Schizosaccharomyces pombe: one gene and its partner. The protein of the gene in region 2 purifies or fractionates together with the protein of the main gene of each other region. This does not show direct contact. Each region holds a gene or a part of one and is shown on either strand. Other genes may lie near its edges.

The links. Proteins that work in one complex are often made in the same cells at the same time.
Region 1: the proteins of alp41 (region 2) and alp1 purify together in Schizosaccharomyces pombe (affinity purification with western blotting, with the first as the bait; one study listed by BioGRID). This does not show direct contact.

The regions. Positions count from the first base shown.
Region 1 is NC_003423.3:3,352,546-3,359,047, reverse strand, and holds alp1 (tubulin-specific chaperone cofactor D Alp1), read left to right. Parts: upstream 1-2,000; 5' UTR 2,001-2,322; coding exon 2,323-2,469; intron 2,470-2,513; coding exon 2,514-3,602; intron 3,603-3,646; coding exon 3,647-4,633; exon of another isoform or gene 4,634-4,672; coding exon 4,673-5,055; intron 5,056-5,103; coding exon 5,104-5,233; intron 5,234-5,279; coding exon 5,280-5,497; exon of another isoform or gene 5,498-5,539; coding exon 5,540-5,903; 3' UTR 5,904-6,002; downstream 6,003-6,502. Other genes in the region: knh1 (KRE9-like protein), read right to left, coding at 415-1,269; protein Ndc80, read right to left, coding at 6,234-6,502. UniProt on the Schizosaccharomyces pombe protein: Has a function in the folding of beta-tubulin. Microtubule-associated protein that is essential to direct polarized cell growth and to position the nucleus and septum to the center of the cell during mitosis.
Region 2 is NC_003424.3:695,358-703,295, forward strand, and holds alp41 (GTP-binding protein involved in beta-tubulin folding Alp41), read left to right. Parts: upstream 1-1,928; 5' UTR 1,929-1,933; coding exon 1,934-1,998; exon of another isoform or gene 1,999-2,043; coding exon 2,044-2,098; exon of another isoform or gene 2,099-2,138; coding exon 2,139-2,211; exon of another isoform or gene 2,212-2,263; coding exon 2,264-2,409; exon of another isoform or gene 2,410-2,447; coding exon 2,448-2,528; intron 2,529-2,570; coding exon 2,571-2,711; coding exon of another isoform or gene 2,712-2,820; 3' UTR 2,821-2,865; coding exon of another isoform or gene 2,866-3,084; 3' UTR 3,085-3,122; coding exon of another isoform or gene 3,123-3,484; 3' UTR 3,485-3,526; coding exon of another isoform or gene 3,527-3,747; 3' UTR 3,748-3,790; coding exon of another isoform or gene 3,791-4,006; 3' UTR 4,007-4,052; coding exon of another isoform or gene 4,053-7,200; 3' UTR 7,201-7,245; coding exon of another isoform or gene 7,246-7,398; 3' UTR 7,399-7,683; downstream 7,684-7,938. Other genes in the region: lon1 (Lon protease), read left to right, coding at 1-1,677; mug62 (putative AMP binding enzyme), read right to left, coding at 2,676-2,820, 2,866-3,084, 3,123-3,484, 3,527-3,747, 3,791-4,006, 4,053-7,200, 7,246-7,398.

The DNA of each region.
Region 1 (6,502 bases), on a different chromosome or scaffold from region 2:
TTCAAACAAGTATAATTTACAAAATAAATTCTAAATAAAACCATAATTATTTATTAAATGTAGAAAATGATAACTAAAGAAAAGGGTTTAACCGAGAGTTCTTTTTGCCTAAATATGTAAAAGAACGAATGAAAAGGGAGAAAGGAAAGTAAAAATTGAACGAATGAAGAAATAACTCATGCACTTGAAGATGCTTTTACGTGAAATTAACTCCACAGAAACAGCATAATGGTAAATATGAAAAAAAACATGACTTTAGATAACAAATAACCAAAATATTTTGTTTTCTTTGACGAACGACTCAATGTATTTGAGCTAAAGGAAGCAGACAAAAATGCACACAGTAATATCCTAGTGTGCTAATGAAAAATCTAAATGACATGAAAGGCTTTGGCCTTAAAAAAAATTAACAATTTAGGAATATAACAACCCACGTTTGTGTTCACCTAAACGCATCCCACGTTTCGGAGCAGCTTGAGCCCAGCTGTCTCGTCTCCTTAAACCAGCAGTTGGAGTTGCGATTATAGTAGGCTTAGAGGCCGTACTAGCATAATTAGCATACAACGTATACATGTACGTTGGAGATGCAAAGACAGTCGAGGTGGCAATGGGAGGACCTGCAAACGTGGTAAATACGGAATAAGAGGAAGTTTCCCATAGCGGTTGTATGTCGGTCGTAGCAGCAGTAAAAGTAGAATCTGGTCGATTTTGAATAGGTCCTGTACGGAGAACACCGGTAGTTTGAGATAGATACCAATCTCGCATTGTACCTGTAGGCCATACACCAAGAAAAGTGCTAAAACCAGTAAGGGTAGGAACATAAGGATACACACCAAGAGCCATCAAAGACGCATAAATTTCGTAATTATCAAAAGTTCCTGTTAGACCATTAACAGTGAAAAAGTCAGTATAGTCATTAACTATACCACCAGCATATGTAGATTGTGCCCAAAGAAAGTAAAGACGTCCAGCTGGTCCAAAAACCTGAGAAATAGCGAAGGGTCCAGCTTGGGATATAGAAGAAGGACTAGGGGACGTATACAAGACTGCACAAGGTTGAGGAGCATCCATGCTACCACTACATATATAAAAAACTGTGTTGGTTATGTCCTCAAGAGGTATTCCCGTATTAGATTCTTCCCATGAAAACGAAATAGCGGTAAAATCCATACTATCTGTTGTCGCCGGAGTGACGAATCGAATTTGCGCACATACATAATGTATGTATGAGCAGACTAGCAATACTAGCATCAACATGGTGGTTTTCATTAAATTCGACGGCTTGAAGAGACTTTGCAAATTTAGTGGTAAGCGATATATATAAATCGTTGCTCTGACAACAGGGATGTATATCGAAACACCTTATTTGACATGTGTAAACAAATAATCGAGAAAAGTTGGTTTATTGTAAGCTAATAAAAGTGATTTTTTTATTTTTTTTTATTTTTTATTTCATGCAATAAATTTCGGCTTAACTCAAAAATATATATCACGAACAAGCTGGATATAGTTAACACTGAATATGTTTTAACCTGAAACCTCTAATTCAAATTCTCTTCAGTTTAGCAAGTACTTACAATTGCTCTGTAAATTTATGCCGACTAGTTTAAAGGCCAACATCTTGGGAAAATTATTGTAACGTTTGAGAATCTTTAAGTAAAGATCTATTTAAACGATACTGCTATACATTTGTAATATCAAATGCTAGTCTTGTACCAAAAGAATGAATAACATGCGAACTTACTGAATCTATGTCGTGAATATTATGTCTACTCTATGAAATAATTGCGTTAGAGCTGTCAATATATAGGCCCTTTACTACCAGATATGCTTACTGTCTGGCTGTATTCCTAATTCATTCGCAGAAATAATATATCATTTACAAATATCACAGTGGTTGCTCCAAAAGCATTCTTAATAACTGCTCACGTTTAGATTTGAGATTTGAAATATCAGTAGTGGGTACAGATTACACCACCACAATAATTTACCTTTTTATTATCCCACTTTTCATAATGTTTTTCAATATCAAAGCTTGTGAAATTTAATCGTTAATAAATCTTACAGGTCTAAAATTATTCAAACTTGTTTTATTTTCTTATTGGTATCATTTGCAACCTCATGAGTGACAAAGGAGGAAATTGTCCAAGGCAATACAGAAAATTAGGGACCAAGTTTTTTTTTTAGGACGAAAGAAATTCTAAAAGAAAGGAGATTAACATATTTTTTCGCTTTATTCGTTTTTCATAATTTATTCAACACGCGTTAATTGCTTAAAGTCGTTACAGTCAAAAATAATCATAGCATAAATTTTAAACAAAAATGGAAGAAGAAGAATCTTTAGAAGGAATTATTTCTATAGATGAGTCTTTGATAACCTCACGTTTATCGCAAATTCTCGATGATGTTTTAGACGATAGAAGTTCTTCACATTCTGTGGAAAAACTTAAAGACGTCGCTGTTAAATATGTATGTTTAAAAAGATATTGTGACCTTTCTAATTAAAATTCTAGTTGCAATTTTGTCAATTTCAGCCGACATTGCTCGATAAACTACTGAGTAAATACGTTCCAAACTTGGCTAGCTATTTACTGAAAGTGAAAAATATCGGAAAATGTAACTCAATTACCGTTATCCTTTACCAGTTTTGTAAAATAAGAGGATATAAAGCTGTTCGCGTCCTCTTTCCTGTTGGCGTTCAATATATTAAGGAATTATATACATTATTAAATGAATCATCAAATAATACCTGGCATTTTCACTACATAGTTTTACTGTGGCTTTCTCAAGCACTCAATACCCCATTCCCGTTAAATTCATTAGATGATTCCTTGGATGTGAAGAAGACCATTTACACTATAGCAATTAAATACTTAGAAAATTCGGGAATAGACAAAGAAGCTTCTTGTCTTGTTTTGTCCCGATTATTCTCTCGTGATGACGGTTTGGATTTACTTCTAGGCTTTCTACACCACTGTGAGAGTAGTTGGTTTAAGAGAAGTATCTTTTACAAAATTGGGTGTCTTTTTTCCTTATCTTCTTTTCTTAAAATTTGTCCGAGAAATGATTGTCTTCAAACAGTTGATGTTGCGTTTCAGTTTCTGAATGTAGCACGAGAAGATTTAGTTGGACAAGAAAATTCAGCGTTGAGGAAATTATTATGCAAATGTTATACAAGATTGGGAATTGTATTGCTGCCTGTAAATTCATCCCCTAATTGGAAATACTCGATCAGTAACCCAGATAGTTTCTTTCAATTACCTGATGACTCTAACGAAGAAGTACATATATATCTGGAGGTTATTGTTGATTTTTTATTGTCATCTGTAAGCGACATAGACAGTTTTGTACGCTGGTCTGCAGCCAAAGGGCTAGCCAAGATCATAAGTCGTTTGCCCTGGAATTTGGCTGAGCAAGTTATCGATGCCATTATTGAATTGATGACAGAAAATATGTTTTTAAACCCCATAGAAAACACTGTAAACATATCAATTACTTCTCCACTGGTTTGGCACGGAGCTATACTTTTCTTCGCAAAACTAGCAGGTGCAGGTTTAATTAAGTATAGTAAATGTTTACATATTCTTCCATTGATCGAAGTAGTAAGTACACTTTGTTTTCTTATATCATTCTAATCCTTATTTAGGGCTTATCATACGAAGTAAGATATGGAACTAGAGTAACAGGACAAAGCATCAGAGATGCCTCCTGTTATTTTGTTTGGTCATTTTATCATTGCTACTCTAAGTCAGCAATTGAAGGCTTACAAACGAATCTTATTTTATGTCTCTTACAAACGGTATTGTTTGACAATGAAATAAATGTGCGCAGAGCTGCAACTGCTGCTTTATTTGAGGTGATTGGCAGACACGCTTCTATTCCCGATGGGCTTTCTTTGATATCACATATTAACTATGTTTCTGTAACGGATATTTCAAATTGTTATGGTGACTTGTGTATGAAAGTAGCTCATTTTCCTCAGTTTCGTTCCTGTGTTTTCCAAAGACTATTTACAAACCTTCAGCACTGGGACGTGAAGGTACAGCAGCTTTCTGCTTTTTCCCTAAGACAACTTTCTATTAAATATCCCAAAGAGCTAAGCATCTATCTTCCTCCCATACTTGATTATTTGTCTGTTGGTAATGCAGATTTTATTTTTGGCTATACGATTGGATTGGCAAGTATTATAGGTGGATTTTTATCCATAAGCTTCCCGTTCGATATAAATCGTATCCATGATTTACTGTCGCACAAAAACCTACTGTCCTTAAAAAAATTTTCAAGGCAACAGCAAACAAAAATTATTTTGGGAATTTTAAAAGGAATTCAACAAATTTTTGCCAATGATATTCGTGTTGACAGAGCATTTTTCAGTGAAGCATTTTCTGTTATAATCGCTGCTATTGATTTACAGGAGGAAACAATCATAAAAGACATCAGTGACGCTTACAGTGTACTTGTTAAATTTGATGATATGGAAGAAACATTGGAGGTTCTTCTTGACTATATACGAAAATGCTCAACAAGTAAAGAAGCGAGAATTGTATACATTATTCTACAGAATTTACCGAATATAAGTTTTCGATACCAGAAAAAGATATGCAAGCTTTTATTGGATATTTATCCCCAACTCGTAAGTAAAGAATTTTTTCACCAATGTTAACATGAACAGCACTCAATAGACTATCAAGCACCTGTTGCGAATGCGCTTCAAAATATTATTCCCTTTACTTATGAAAAAACAGAAAGCATTGAAGAATTTGTCAAAGAATTACTTCAGGTTTGCTCCAATTATTTGACAGATACCCGAGGAGATGTTGGCTCATGGATTCGCAAACCTGCAATGAAGGCCATTTCCAGTCTATTAGTCAAAGATTCATCTGGAAAAAAATTAAGTGAAGATATAGTTTGGTGTTGTATTTCCTATATTATAAGGCAAACATTTGATAAAATTGATAGTTTGAGGGGTTTGGCATATCAAGCACTCGAACAAATCAGAGTACATTACCTAATCAGAAGATGCGAAGCTTTGACTAATATTATTAATCGTATTAGGTAAAATGAGTTTTCAATTAAAATTCTGCTATTAACCACTAGTTTCAGGAATAATCCAAATATGGATGGAGAGGTACTAAATGAACTGAATATATCTCTGCTAGAAATACCTAATTTAAGGCTTCAAGCTTTTTACGGAATTACAGTATTTACTGCCGATGGTTTTGGCAGTGACTTAGTAAGTTATCATATGCTTCGATGTCTTAATATACTAACTCTACTAGGCAGTTAAATGTTTTGAATTTTATCTAAGTTATGTTTACCAGTTAGAAGATTCGTTTAAAAAATCTAACTCTCGTTATGGTAAACGGGATCTTCTACAACTCTATATAGACATACTTTCTTCGGAGGATGAAATAGCTCGTTTCTATTTTCCAATCATGAAATCTTTCACATCTTTGTTAGCATATGGTTGTTTCACGGACTTTCAAAACGTTAAGGGGTATGTTTTTTTACATTTTGTTCAAAATACTAATGATATCAGCATGTCAAAAGCGATTTTTATTGTACAGAGAAGGGCTCTTACTTGTAAATCACCAGGGGGACTTTCTGCGATACTAGAGTTATATCGGACGCTTTTTCTTTCCAAAAATGAACTTTTGAGGCATCATGCTTTAAAATATACGGCAAACCTACTATTAAACCCGATTGAAAAAGTACGCTACCAAGCAGCCGACACTTTGCTCTATGCGAAGTCAATTGGTTTGCTAACTTTCCTCCCTAATGAATTAAACCAAAAACTACTGACTTTGGATTGGTTCGTACCAGTATCTCAAAACGCAACTTTTGTTAAACAGCTAAGGAATATAATACAGAAACAAATAGATAAACTGATAGCTGATCGATAATAAATTTTGAACTACTTTCAGCTTTTTAAATAGTCGTGTATATGATGTATAAAAACGTTAAAATCTGCAATCAATAAAATATCTGGTGAATAATCTCAAATTTTTAGCCAAAACAGTTCGTGCTTATGTAGTACTAAATTGATGTCCATAAAAGGAACACAACCAATAAAAATTACATTTGAAAATTGAGAGTTGAATTATTATTACCTTCATTAGAATTGTAATTAAAAAGTAAGAGATTAAAGCATAAAACACAAAAACACCATCGTGATAAAAAAATGTATTCATGAGCCGTGAATATAGTAGACAGCACAATACGATGAATAGAATTTACAGTTCCGAACGAGATAGGTCATCCAATTCCTTTTGGTAGTCCATCTTCAAATCCTCCAAACTGTCTTGAACGTGTAGCTTGAAATGTATTATTTCACCAAGCACAAATGCAACCTCTTTATATATATTGTTTTTGTACTCCATGCAAGCATGTGCAATTTGATCCGCTTCGATATTTATACTTTGTATACGCTGGTCTAATTGAAGCATGCTGTTATGCGAAGAAAGTTTGAGCTGTTGTAATTCTCTTTCTAACTTATCCGATT
Region 2 (7,938 bases):
TTTAACATTACTCGTAATTATTTGGACTGGATAACCCAACTTCCTTGGGGAAAGAGGTCTGTTGAAAATTTCGATTTAGATCATGCAAAGGAAGTCCTTGATCGAGATCATTATGGGCTTAAAGATGTTAAGGATCGTGTTCTTGAGTTAGTAGCTGTAGGTAAGCTAAGAGGAACTATGCAAGGAAAGATTATGTGTTTAGTTGGTCCGCCAGGTGTCGGTAAGACTTCTGTTGGAAAATCTATTGCATCTGCCTTAAACAGGGAATTCTTTCGCTTCAGTGTGGGCGGTCTGACTGATGTCGCTGAAATCAAAGGACATCGTCGTACCTATATCGGAGCAATGCCTGGAAAAATTGTGCAAGCTTTGAAAAAGGTGCAAACTGAGAACCCTTTGATTCTTATTGATGAAATAGACAAAGTGGGCAAAAGTCATCAAGGGGATCCTGCGAGTGCACTTTTAGAGCTTTTAGATTCAGAACAGAACTCAGCTTTCCTAGATTACTATATGGATATTCCACTCGATGTTTCATCTGTTTTATTTGTCTGCACGGCGAACACCATTGATACTATTCCTCCACCTTTGTTGGATCGTATGGAGGTTATTGAACTATCTGGATATGTTTCAGCTGAAAAAGTTAACATTGCTAAAGGTTATCTTATACCCCAAGCCAAAGCTGCTTGTGGTTTAAAGGATGCTAATGTGAATATCAGTGATGACGCTATTAAGGGTTTAATTAGTTACTATGCTCATGAAAGCGGTGTACGAAATTTGAAAAAATCTATTGAGAAAATATTTCGTAAAACATCTTTTAGTATTGTTAAAGAAATTGACGATGAATTAAATTCTAAAGAGAAGTCTACGGGTAAGTCGGGAAAGAAAACATCTCCTCAATCATCAGAAGATGCAGCAAACAAAGAAGCATCATCTGTTCCGTTAAAAGTTCCCGATAAAGTTAATATCGAGATTGAAGAAAAGGACTTGACTAAATATTTGGGTCCCCCCATTTATACTTCTCAGCGACTTTATGACACTACTCCTCCTGGTGTTGTCATGGGACTTGGTTGGACACCCATGGGAGGTGTTTCGATGTATGTAGAAACTATTGTTAAAAACATTTTATCATCCAATTCTACTCCCTCTTTGGAAAGGACGGGGCAACTGGGAGATGTGATGAAAGAGTCATCTGAAATTTCGTATTCCTTTTCAAAAAGCTTTTTGTCTAAGCATTTTCCAAATAATAAATTTTTTGAACATGCGCGTTTGCATATGCATTGTCCCGAAGGCTCCATTTCTAAGGATGGCCCATCAGCAGGTATCACAATGGCTACATCTTTACTTTCTTTAGCATTGGATACTCCGGTACCAGCGACTACTGCCATGACTGGTGAGCTAACCTTGACCGGTAAAATTTTACGCATTGGTGGCTTACGAGAAAAGACGGTTGCTGCCAAATTATCTGGTATGAAAGAAATACTATTTCCAAAAAGTAACTTAGCCGATTGGGAACAACTTCCTGATTATGTTAAAGAAGGTTTAACTGGTGTCCCTGTTGCATGGTATGATGATGTTTTTAAACGGGTTTTTTCAAACATTGATGCCGAAAAATGCAACAATCTTTGGCCAAATTTAATAAAGTCATCCTCCAAGCAGCATCAAATTTCACCCAGTCATTAACATTCTCCTATTAGAAGGATACTACCTTTATGAAGAAATTATCTAAATTCATTATGTAATAGATATAGTTAATAACGATTTATGTATTGTGCTATATTTAAAAGACAACATGTAGTTTGAATTTATTCTGTTCAATCGTTCGTAAAACAGTAATATCTTTCTATAAAGTTGATAGCTTAAGCCCTTGTTGAGTAACGCAATGCAAGGCAAATTCATCGCATATTTTCTTATTTCTTGGTTACTCTACTATTGAGAAATGGGATTATTGACTATTTTGAGACAGCAAAAGCTAAAGGAACGAGAAGTCAGGGTTTTGTTACTGTAAGATGATTCAAATATATACAGAGTGAAATCTAATGACTTTAGGGGGTTGGATAATGCAGGTAAAACGACAATTTTGAAGTGCCTGTTGAACGAGGATGTAAGTATCTTTTAAGGCTCCATAATTTATCGATTGATAGGTAAATGAAGTTTCGCCTACCTTTGGCTTTCAAATTCGAACGCTTGAAGTAGAAGGACTCCGATTCACGATATGTACGTAGCTTGCAATTTTCGAAATGAACAGTCTTAAGCTTACTAATTCAAGGGGACATTGGGGGGCAGAAAACGCTAAGAAATTTTTGGAAAAATTACTTTGAATCAACCGAAGCAATTATTTGGGTTGTTGACAGCTTGGATGATTTACGTTTAGAAGAATGCAGAAATACATTACAAGAATTGTTGGTAGAAGAGGTAGGCTGAAAATGTGAATTATCTTAACATGCATATAGAAACTTTTGTTTACTTCAATTTTGGTTCTCGCTAATAAGTCTGACGTTTCCGGCGCACTTTCATCCGAAGAAATTAGCAAAGTCAGTTTACAATTTATGAATCCAAGCTAACAACAAGTCAAGATATTAAATATTTCTAAATATAAATCATCGCATTGGCGGATTTTTTCGGTTTCAGCATTAACGGGCCTTAATATCAAAGACGCGATAAGCTGGCTTGCTAATGATCTAAAGGAGATTAAGTTGGGAACTATTGATTATTAAGTTTTCATCCGAGTAATCGTAAGAATCGGTTGTTCCAATCAACTCAGTACCTACAAAATCTTCGTTGAGAAGAAAGTCCTGTCGAATTAAATAGCTTGTCATGTGTTTCCTAAAATATTGTTATTTAGGCTTCTCATTAATAAAGATCACTTACAGGTCTCCTCCAGTCCATTGTTTTAGGATGTCTGCTCTCCTTTTCTCACCAGTTGGACGACGCAAAAATGTTCCTTTCGGTACGAAGGCAACACAATCAAGTATGATTTCATGTGCTGCCAAAGCCGTAGCAACAATAATTGGTATTAGGCTAGCGAATTTTTGCTGACTATGTACTTCCAGAAGAATTACTACGGATCCTGACGCTTGAAATAATATGCTGTGACATTAGCCTCTATAGTTTGTGATGCTACTTACCACCCATCTGTGCAAATGTTGGGATGCACTAATTCGATTGTTTCTTCAATATCCTTTACGGAATGGTTAAGCCCGTTTAATTCGAGCGTATTCCATATGAAATCTAAAGTATATAAAACTGGAACTTTTTCCATATTCTGGTCTTTTTTCTTCAAATGATGAATGAAACCTAACTGCCCTGTTCTCGAATAGCTCTTTTTATCTAATGTCTCTTGCACTAGAAGCTCGCATCCAGAGTTGAGTTCGTTGTTTTCACAATATGAGCCGTGCTTTCCGTTAATCCAAATTTCTCCAATTTCTCCTTCTTGACATATGTATTTTTCTTCAGGGTGAACTATGCATATTTCATTGTATAATGTGCTCTATATTAATTAGTAAATTGCTGCCTAATACTTTTCACGTACAGTTCCGGACCCATAAAGGAGTGGTTGTCTGTTTCTTAGGACATCCTCTCTTACGTTTACGAGACCGCTTCTTAGCTGATTGGCATCAAAGTAATCCTTCATTTTTTCCATGCTCGAATCCGCATTCCAACAAACGAAAGGATTGATCGGATGAGAGTATGCCAATTTTACCTTGTTGGGAGCTAGTCCAATTCTGGCGATATCTTCAATTATACTATTAACTAGGTCTTGTTAGTAAATGCGTCTTTCTGTTTTCCTACTTACCTCTAGAACTTATTGGTCTGTCGTAGCAAGGCACAATAATGCTTGACAAAGTGGAGTTAATAACAATGCTATTACAACCTTGAGCTGTTGAAAAGCTTTTCTGACAAATGTTAAGTGGAATCATAACCTTTGATAAAGAGTTTTGCTCGATAGCCTCAAAAAGCAGGCTACCATTGTTACATAAGTTTTCTTGTTTTATCAATAAAGTTGGTACTCCTATAATATGCGTTAATTATTTTTTTCACATTTTGAAAATATTTACCTGCATATACTCCAAGCAAGGCAGTATGCAATAGGCCCATTCCACTTGAGAATTCAATCCCACCAATGATTGGTTTTTCTTCATTTCCAATTACAAATTCTTTTTGTTCATGGCAAAATGCCAGAAGACTAGAATGAGAAAATTGCGTTGGGATGATGGAACCATCTTCCAGCTTATTAATACTAATTAGCGCGACTTTCCCTTTATTATTCAATTCCCCCGGGGTTATTAGATTCAATGCTTTTTTTGCACGTTTTGAAATGGGGATTCCAGTAGTTTCAAATATTTTGGGTGCCTTCATGTTGAGGTCAATGCAAGTTTGTTGAAAGTGATTTGAAATATCCCTGGATTTTAAAGATATAAGAACTTTATGATCAACAAGGATTGCTTCCACATTGAAGGCCTTTGCAATTTTTGTGAATTCTTCTATTTCCCCAATCAATTGTGATATTTCACGAATTTGAAACGGTATTGGTATCACCCCTAGGTGAAAGCAGCTATGTATGCTGATCAAAAACTCTAATGGGTCGTAATAAAGAAGTAAAATATGTGATCTTGCTTTAGCTTTAACTGATAACTGCATATATTCAACATGAGATGCAACTTTCAGCTCAAAATGGGCCCAAGTCAACTCTACTTTTGTTTTTTCGATAGCATTAAAGGTTAATATGGCAGGTGAAGTTGGTGTCTTTGCAGATTTGGTTTTTAAAAAGTCAAGGATAGTAAAGTGATTAAGCAGATTTTCTCGTGCTTTACTAACTTTGTTTTGATGCTTGTACGGATCCATCTTTTGTTTAACATTTAAAGAGATAATCTCTCTATGATGTTTGGAGGCATCTTTTGACCAAATTCCTTTTGAATTGTTTAAATTAATTTTAGATTTTGGTAATGCTGAATCCATGAAAAACCTAACATAGGATACAGGAAGATTTCCTGACAAAAAGGCCAGTTTACACTTATTCGTGTTGATTGCTTGGATTCCCATATACCTGGATCGAGGTAATGATTTGTAAGGAGCAATAAGTATGCTTAGGACATCTAATTTGAATATGTCTTGAGTGACTTGGAAGCTGCTCTCTGTTATTTTTACCAACTCTGAGAACAAATCTCTTCCTTTAAGCCGATTATTTCGAATTAACGAACGCTTAATAATTGGACTTTCAAGTACTAAAACGGAGTAAACTGCTTTGTCGATTTCTATTTCAAAGGCGACACCATCAAAAATTTCGGGAACATATTTCATGATTTTTTTAATCAAGTAATGAGAATAGTGTACATATTTTTCTTCCATTAACTTATCAGCGACCATTGTTTTCCGATATTGCCTGATTTGTTCATCTTTGTTTCCAAGAACAAAAATCTTTTCGTTATGCAAAAATCCTTTTAGACCACTATCCATGAATGAGTTATTCTTTTCAAATTTATTTTCTTGGTTGTTTTCGTAATCAGTTAATTGTTCCCCTTGTGGGTTGTTAATCACGCTAGCAGCTTTCAACTTAGGAAGACAATCAGAATAAACCCAAATTTCTCCAACTTCACCAACTTTGCATATATTCTTCGAATCTTCATTAACAACTGCCACTGATGCCTCAGGGATTGGATACCAAAAGGGAGACATGCAAAGGACTTCGTTAGGAGAATATTTTCGGATATCTAGAAATGGAACAATTTCCACTTTTTCCTTTTCTATTGAACTCTTTAATACCAAGATCTCTTGATAACAAGTATCGGCCATTTGCCGTTCATGTTTCTGTCTGTTGGTGTAACTGATCATCCAGTCTTTGAATGAAATAGGTATTCCACCAAACTTTCGCAAACATAATATCGGAGTGATTACCTCTTTGGAATTATTGGTACCTAAAGGTTGCAACCACCTATCTGAGACTATAATGTTGAATTCCGGGTCTACTACTTCGCATTCAACCATACACAACTTCAAGGACGAAAGGTTCGGTGTATAATTTTTTTTAAATGAAAGTGTAGATTTAGGATCCTCCTGATAATTGTACACTGTCTGCTTCAGTCCAGCATAATCAAACAAACTGTATGTACATCGATATTTAGTAATTAAATATGCTAATAAACCTGGCGTTTTTAGTACTTCTTCATCACAAAAGATGGTACAATATCCTGCAAACACAGAGTTGAATACCCCCATGATCAATCCTAATGGCATAGATGGATGGAAATTGGTAATGAGAACATCTTTCGAATCCTCAAAATTATGGAGCTTCCATCCAGCTTGACGAGCTGGATTGGTTATCATGGACGATGTCAGATTTCTCATCTGACTTAAAAATGTTTTCGTGGTATAAACAGCCTTAATATCATTATAGGTCGAGGAGCTGAACGTGTAATCAATGAGAACTGTGTCATTCGCACGCATCCGATACTGTTTGATTTGTTCAAATTTGTAGTTTGTAAAGTCGTTTGATTTCCACCATGCAAGGCTTTTTGCATTATTCACCTCTGTATCTTTTATGAAGATACGATAAGTAGCCTCTGTAGTAAATGCGACACGAACTTTTTCTTCATTGACAACCAACTTGAGACTTTCTGAAGATGAGGAAGGACTCAAAGGAATTACTACTATTCCAAGCAACAAACAGCCAAAGATACTAATAATATATTCTGAAGCTTCCGATTTTCGATAATATAAAATTACTCTGGTTCCAGGTTTAAGTCCAACGTGATTTTGCGCAACAGACGCAAATTGTTTAGCTCTATTCAGGATTTTATCCCAACTGTAACTCACAGCTTCTTTCCCTTTTTTATCGATACAAATATGAGCAGTAGAAGTTGGATTTTTATTTCTTCGATACTCAAGGACAGATATAATATCCTGCAGCGCCATCATTGAAAATGTTGGATTTCGTGGATCATTAATTTCAAATCTGGCTCTACGTGGAACTGTGAATTGTAGTTTTTCAGCTGCTGTGGCAGTTGATATATCTGCAAACAGCTTCTGAGATACTTTGGCCAATTGTGGTTGCAGCTCTGCATCCCTTGCTCTTTTCACATATTTTAACACTGGGTCTGGTATTGTCTCAAAAGGCAACTTGCTTTTATCTTCATATTTCGAATGCCTTACGGGATGGATTTTTTCGTTTTCTGAAGGTTTCATAAATCTCAGCACAGTATGACTATCCTTGAAATTTTTGCATTTAGTAATTTTTTTTTATATTACTCTTACCGTTTCACTTTTATAATAGACATCGTTTGCTTTCAGCATATGCGCATCTGTTCGAAGGGCTGAACCAGCAGAACCAATTTCAGATATAACATCCTCTTCTATGTCATGCAGTTTTGTCTTCTTATTGAAGTTGAAAAATGATTTTAGACTCATTTTATGGCTCACGTTCGCATACAGTTAGGAATTGAGGATTCCAAAGCTTGTATGAGAAATGTAAACAAATCGCTTATGTTACCTGTTACCTGATTGACTTCACTAAGGATAAACAATAACATTGAATGAAGTAAAAGTGTACTAAGTTTACAAATCCTAATTCAATTTAAAAATTTAGAAAGACTATGCTCTATCCCTGTTCCCCATCATTATTCATTTATGTGCGCAATTAATTTTACAAAATTAACAGTAAATACCAATCTTTTTTATACATATTAGAACGCAAAAAGTTGGATTGTATCAGCTTTTCGAAAAAAGATGCATCTACCAGGGATCGAACCTGGGACCGTCTGCGTGTAAAGCAGAAATCATAACCACTAGACTACAGATGCAACATACAACTAACAGTACTAATTAATATAATTTATTAACTAAGAAACCTGTCTTTACTAATAACGATTGAGAAAAAAGTGATAACAACAGGCTAAGCATTATGCGCTAACTTTGTTTAATTAAAAGTAAACATTCGCAAATTTTGTT